Bombyx mori: one gene and its partner. The protein of the gene in region 1 purifies or fractionates together with the protein of each later gene. This does not show direct contact. Links are inferred from orthologs where the notes say so. Each region holds a gene or a part of one and is shown on either strand. Other genes may lie near its edges.

What was found.
Region 2: the proteins of mitogen-activated protein kinase kinase kinase 4 (region 1) and growth arrest and DNA damage-inducible protein GADD45 alpha purify together in Homo sapiens (co-immunoprecipitation; 3 studies listed by BioGRID and IntAct, with this or other methods). This does not show direct contact. The link is inferred for Bombyx mori from reciprocal best matches to the Homo sapiens genes MAP3K4 and GADD45A.

The regions. Positions count from the first base shown.
Region 1 is NC_085112.1:512,081-515,580, reverse strand, and holds part of mitogen-activated protein kinase kinase kinase 4, read right to left. Parts: intron 1,955-3,500; coding exon 1,852-1,954; intron 1,321-1,851; coding exon 1,136-1,320; intron 1,059-1,135; coding exon 891-1,058; intron 1-890. UniProt on the Homo sapiens protein: Component of a protein kinase signal transduction cascade. Activates the CSBP2, P38 and JNK MAPK pathways, but not the ERK pathway. Specifically phosphorylates and activates MAP2K4 and MAP2K6.
Region 2 is NC_085134.1:418,475-422,225, forward strand, and holds growth arrest and DNA damage-inducible protein GADD45 alpha, read right to left. Parts: upstream 2,316-3,751; 5' UTR 1,848-2,315; coding exon 1,786-1,847; intron 1,629-1,785; coding exon of another isoform or gene 1,581-1,628; exon of another isoform or gene 1,566-1,580; intron 1,510-1,565; coding exon 1,293-1,509; intron 1,081-1,292; coding exon 865-1,080; 3' UTR 501-864; downstream 1-500. Other genes in the region: electron transfer flavoprotein beta subunit lysine methyltransferase, read left to right, coding at 1,581-1,628. UniProt on the Homo sapiens protein: In T-cells, functions as a regulator of p38 MAPKs by inhibiting p88 phosphorylation and activity.

The sequences.
Region 1 (3,500 bases):
TTTTTGTTTAGTTTTAAATTTGTTTGTGTTTAAGTTTGTTTTAGTATTAAGTGTCCCTTGGCATTTATATTATTCGTCAACAAAGATGCCACCAAAGCATAATAGTGTTTTATATCGCCAGGCGAGAAAAACAATTTTTGATCTAATGCAGCTTTTTTAAAAAAGAAAAAGAAGAAGGCGTAAAATATTTTGACAGTTTTTTAAGAGTTACTAACGCAGCTGGTGTATCGCAACGCACAGTACAGCGGATCGCAACTGAAGGCAATGTTTCGGGATTACTTTCTAATTAATTTAATTACGTTATTTTTACAGCTTTCAGTCTTAATTTATTATTTCTCTTTAATTTATTACATTATTTTTATAGCTTTCTCTCTCATAGTGTTTTGATATTAATTTTATTTGTACTTGGTCTCTGTATATGGAAGTTTTAATTCGTATTTTGATTTAAAAAAAATGAATGACAATAACACTTTTTTTTACGAGTGTAAATGCGCGAAAGTTGACCTGCGGCTATATTCAGACTCGTCAAGTTACGTCGGTCGTATTGTACAGGATCGCGTTAAGGAGTATAATAAAGTTTTTTTTTATTGCTTAGGTGGGTGGACGAGCTCACAGCCCACTGTGTTTACTGTGTGGTTACTGGAGCCCACAGACATCTACAACGTAAATGCGCCACCCACCTTGAGATATAAGTTCTAAGGTCTCAAGTATTAGTCACAACGGCTGCCCCACCCTTCAAACCTAAACGCATTGCTGCTTCACGGCAGAAATATGCGGGGCGGTGGTACACCTACCCGCGCGGACTCACAACAGGTCCACCAGTAATTTTAAAACATTTCCCTATCATCGGGACAACGGTACAAAGGTTCAGGTGTGTGGTGTGCACGCACCCGGTGCAGCTCGCAGCCGTAGTAGCGCACGAGGTGCGGGTGCGCCACGCCCTCCAGCACGCGCAGCTCGTTGGCGGCGCGCTGCAGCCCGCGCCGGTCGCCCGCGCCCACGCTCAGCTCCTTCATGGCCAGCAGCTGCCCGCTCTCCGTGTTCACCACCGTGTACACCTGCGCACCACAACCTCCGTCACTCTGCATCACTCTACGGCACTCTACCGCACTCCACGTGCTGCTGACCACAGTACCTTGCCGAACGAGCCGGCGCCGATCTTCAATCCGCGCTGCCACTTGAACGTGAGCTGCCTCAGCTTGGGCTCGTAGCTGGTGACGGCGGCCTCCAGCACCCTGCCCACGCTCTTGGACTCCCGCAGTCTCTGCTCTCTCGCGAACTCCACTCGAGATATCGCTTCGGTTACTCTTCTGCTGTGTACTATAACAAATCAGTTTTTTAAAGGTAAACAAATATATGATGGCGTCACGGATGGCTGAGCGGGAGTTCCGTCATCATTCGTATTCGGTAGAAGTTAGTTTATTGCGATAAAAGTCAATAAAACTTTTTGAATATTATTATTGAAATTCTAAGCAAATAATTTTCACAATGTTGCTTTTGTTTTTTTTAACTTAAATTTCTCTTCTCTGTTCACTTTTTACATGTTTATATGTGATTTTGATTGTGGTTAAATAAATAAATAAAAGGGTAAACCGACAGTTTCGTTTCAACTGACCGACTGACGGACTGACTGACTGATACTGACTGACAGACTGAGACGACTCTGTCCACGTATTTTATATTCGCCATTAGTATTATATATACGCCATTTTATACTTTGGCGTTACGACGTCTACCCTACATTTTTGTGATATTTATCAAAACAATATTTTATCATTTAATCAATACAATGTCTTAATATTAGAGAAGTCGTTACCCACGACATATATGTTGGTGTCTGAGCGTACTCACGCGTGTTCTCCGCGCCGGGGAAGCACAGCAGCGGCTCGGGCTCGCTGGGCGGGGTGGGCGGCGCGGGCACGTCCTTGTGCAGCGACGCGTTGGACAGTGGACTCTACACCCACATGCATAGACAAGGTTCACTCTTAACCCTGATGCTTGTATTAATTATAAAATATGTCGCAATGCATAATGTTTACGGCAGCATATAACAAACAGAACAAGGGGGACTTTTTGGTGTTTTTAATTTAGTGTTATTAACTTTTTACCATTTATGAAAGTGCACCAGTGTAGCTTTTTTTTCCTTACTTATTCGCTGGTAACCTAAGGGGCTATTTCAGCCACGTGCGGACGACTAGGTGAGCTCATATGCTCAACCTGAGAGAATTTGCTAACACTGGTCCTAGCAAGAGCCGTGCTTCGCAGAGTCTACCACCGGATCGGAATCGCGACCCGCTGAGAAAATCCGGCGAGAAAATCAGCGGGCTGATGTTTAAGTTATAGGAGTGGGCGATATAAATCGTATCTAGATTCAATATCTATATATCGCAGCAATATCGTTGAATCCGATATCGCCCCGCACGAAATCTATATATCGATATCGGCCGATACACGATATTGCTCGATGTGATGCGCATCGGCATATCGTACCGATTCGTGAATCGAAATCTATATAACGATATCAGTCGATACACGATATTACTCGATGTGATGCGCATCGGCATATCGTACCGATTCGTAAATATCAGCAATATTCGTTTGGTTCGTATCGAATCGGCCAGAGTGAGTGAGCGCACGATATCATGTGATGAATGAAACAGAAACAGGCATTATCCATACAATTGTAAACCTTATATTTAAGTCCATATGTCTGTAGATTATTCTTAGCGTATCAGCAGGATACAATTTAATTTCACGCGCTTTGACCTTGAACTGCAATTTTTGGACAAGTGTTTATAAATACTTAAAAGTTTTTTGTGTTTGATTTTTAAAGTACACATTTTTCTATTTTTAGTTGAATCCAAATAATTGAGTTTATTTCTTGTGTTTGTATTAAACTTTTGAAATCTACACTCTTTTGGTATATTTTGTAATTTTAAATTAAGATACAAAATACTAAAAACTGAAAATAATGTAGCCAGTCCTAAGCCTGATAAAAGCATGAAGGAAAGTTTTTTTGATATTTTTATTTTCATGTTCTTTTTATTACTTTAAAATCATATTATAAATTGATATCAGAAAACCAACCGTATAACGTTGACTTAAATCTATATCTACTACGATATTATATCAGCGTATCGTTTCAAATCTCAAATATCATGAATCGAGAAAATCTACTAGCATCCATCAATATATAGATTCAGAAAATATATAGATTCAATATCCGATATTGATCCTCGATATATAGATACGATTCGATACGCGGCAAAACCGATATTACCCACTCCTATTAAGTTAGTTGCACGTCGAACTCTTTGCCGAATTCGACAAGTACGGTTACCGGGATTCATAAGCTTGCGCCTAGCGTTAGAGCTGAAGGCGACTAATGCAAGAGTTATTGGATCTAATGGATCCGTAAGCAAGTGTCTAGGGCGTCGACGGTAACTGGCTCCGTGATCAGGATTCGGAGAGTTCCTTCGTACAAACTCCCCAAATTAGAT
Region 2 (3,751 bases), on another chromosome or scaffold:
TCTACTTCATTTACATAGAAAGTGAAAATATTTTTGAATTATAGAATGTTAAGGAGCTATGTAAACCCCTATTTTGAAACATTCTTTATTGGTGCTCCACTTGTCTTAGAGAGATGTTATATAGCCGTCTTCCTCAATAAATGGGTTATCTTTAACACAAATAATTTTTCAAATCGGACCAATTAATATTTCCTGAGATTAGCGTGTTCAAACAAACAAACTTCAGATTTGTAATATTATGAAGTATAGATAAATACAAGAATTCCAGCAAATACTAAATTTCAATTTCTGATGAACCTTAAGCATATTTTTTATTAAAATTCCATTATACGATGCTCCTACCATAAATTAATTATTTAAATTGTTTATCTAAATTTATTGTCCTGATATTATTGACAGTTCAATATCATGGGTATCTATCTTGCTTGTGCTTCTTTCTGGAATCTTTTTCTTTTTAACTTAAGATTATATTTAGGGGAAAAAGCGGGAAAAAAAGAAACTTTGTTACAAATAAAATAAAATTTTATTCATGTTTATTATGTTTTAACTTTTACAAAAGATTTATTACGAAATTGGTATAAAGATATAATAAATACATTTTTCGTTACATTAAACTATCTTATGAAACAATGAAAAAAACACTTTTACATTTTAAGACAGTAGCAGTTTAGCACCTACATTTTACAAATTGCTCTCTATCAATTTTTAAATTATTTTAATTCAAAACAAACCCCAAAACATTCTCAAGCAGACTTAATGCAACTACCAAACAACAGATGGCGTTGTGCCTAAGCCAAAATGGCGACCTACTTGAAAAATAATATCGCAAAATTTTCTTTTCACAATAATATCCTCATGTTTAATTCACTTCTCGGGCAACTTGATGACGGGCATTTGTGAATAGCCCCAGTCTGATTCGCAGTGGTCGATCAACTGTCTCTCGGCTTCAGATAATGTTGATAAATCTATTTCTTGACTGTCTGTGAATGGATCTGTATACGGATAGTGTACCAGCACGCAACTGAAGTCCATGGGAGAGCAGTAACCAAGCATTCTCCTCAGCTTAGTCTCACAATCGACCTGTGTACAAAGAAACGAATTTGTTAGCTTTTTTATTTTGATTCCTTTTAACTTAATTCCTTGAATCGTTATAAATTCGATTAATAGGTTCTTGTTAGAGAGTCGGAAATTTTAATGACTTTTTTTACTTCGTGGAAACTAAATTGTCATATAAAATTAATAATAACTATGTATAATTCATTTTATGAAGAAGGAAATAAAATGAAACTCACTTTAATAACATGAATATCATTTTCAACGCAAAATGCTTGCAGGAGGACATCTTGCATATGCGTTGCACTATCGCCAGGCGGGGCTTCGGCGGTCAGGCAAAACAATGCACCATTGCAGTTCTTCGATAAGTATTGAATGGCGGGAAGTAAGCCAATAGTTAACCTTTTTTCGACACAGGCTCGCCTTAACACTGTCTTGATACATTGTCCGATAGAGCTGTGGGAAAACAAATACATTAATAAATTATATGTTACCAAAAACTTTAGTCTCTTGCATGTCAAACGGAGATGCTAACCGCCATACTACAAACAAAATATTATTATCAAAAGCATAAGGTACGTCAATTTATAGTCTAATTGGCATGTTTGAAGTTATTAGAACTTTAAAGTTCTTTGATCTAGGTCAAGTGAAATTCTTGTGAAATATTCATTTTAGTTTATGCATATTGAATTTTTCCTGTTGTAGCTGTAAAGTATTAAGATATTTATTTACCTTTTAGCTGCTATGACACTGAAGGTCTCGGCTTTTACTGGAACAACTGCTTCCTTGTACATTTTGGATAGACGAATGCTTCTTAACTCTTGAATTTCACTAATTTCCAAACTCCGCAGTGAAATCCGAATGTGAATTTTCACAGAAAGCACTAACACTTTACATAAAATCCTTCTATTATGTAAACACACTTGAACTTCTCGCAGTAATTCGAACTTGTGACACAATAATTTCACAACTTTGCTAACGAAACTCGCGTTAGTACACTTTGGATGTTCAATGTAGAATGTGGAGAAGTGACGTAGCGTTCCCTTTTATTGGAAAGGCCGCGCATGCGCACGCTAGTATTTGTATGTGTGCGTATCCTCCGATCAGTTTCGTCGGAGTTTCTTCGAAAAACGCTTGTATTTTCGGTTGTGTGAGTCGTTTTAACTAGTGTAAGTCTGTAAGTGTATATACGAGATAATAATAATGATACGTGGCACGTGGTACGTGTGTGTGAGTGGTTTTTTCTGAAATGCGAACGCGTGGCTTGTCGCGACTTGTTTAAGGACCAATTTAGTTGGAGCTACCCCGTTCTTCTTTTTTGAAGTAAATGCGGCCAGAAAAGGGTAGGTACTATCAGAACGGTAGGTCAAGGTATTTTTTGTTATCGTTAAGCGCATTGGAGAATATCGGAATTCCCGCTACATTGGGTTTTTATTTCAACAGAGGAAATATGGTTCATTTGAAAACAAAAATTGGGTTTGATTCTGGTTTAGTTGTTTTTTTATTTGTAATGAAACATTCGTTTTCAATAGGTACAAGGACTTTAGTATATTTATTGTAGAGCCATGACGGCAAGATGAGAAAACTTCTAATGGGCATTTCTTCTAGTGTTACGACAGGATAGAATTTATTTGAAGTTATGGGCAGGTAGTGAAAATGTTTTTTTTTTTTTTAAGAGATTTTATGACCTGGTAACTAAGACCTTTAAGTCATGTCTTATTTTACTTTATATTCTTAATTTTATGAAAAATGATAATATGGAGTGAAATGAAATGAAGATGATTAATTTGAGACATTAATCAACTGGGATGAAATTTAATGAAATGAGATGATATGGGATGAAATATAATCGCAGTAAAATGGTGGTCATTTACTGAGATTTTTTCAGTGGACTTTTTGGAGGAACCCGAGAAGTTACGTCCAGCAGCTTTGTTTCATTTTCCCACATTGGTGCACTTTCACAGATATTAAACATTTAATAAACCACCGTTATTACACATTTAAACCTGAAGAAACACTAAATAGACAAAATAAAACAAATCACACAACTTCACTGCTCGCGTTCCCGCCAAAAAGTCCAGTGAAAATGTTACTACTATCCTTGTACCTACCTACCCAACTTCAGAAGTCGATGTATTTTAATAGTCTCCACCACAATTCCATTACCTGCATCAGAGCGAGGAGGAAGACATTCATATAAATACGTTAGTTTGAGTATATCATTAGCTACTTATTTTTTTACCTCAAACGTAAATTAAAAAAACCGTGTTTTTTTGAAGTTTTTACTTTCTATAGCACATGAGATGTTAGTGTCGAACGTGAGAGCGACTCTTTCTTATTTTTTTGCTTAGCAGGGTCAATGACCTCGTGGCCCACGTAGTGTTAAGTGGTTACCGGAGCCCATGGACATCAGCAACGTAAATGATTTCTAGTGTATCCAAAGCAGTCAAATTGTATGCAAAAGTGAGTTTGTTTTTCACGTCTGTTAGAAACAAACAAACTCGCATTATGGCGTCGTGTTACTCAACCCAATATCAAGAAACACGTTGTTAAGTGCACTAAAAAAGACATATTCATCATTTAACACCAGGTAACAATTACTATTCTCGATCAATGTAATTTTACTATACTAAAATCTATTATTTATGTGTATAATATTGACGTCAATATTACCATGCACAAGTGACATACTTCGAAC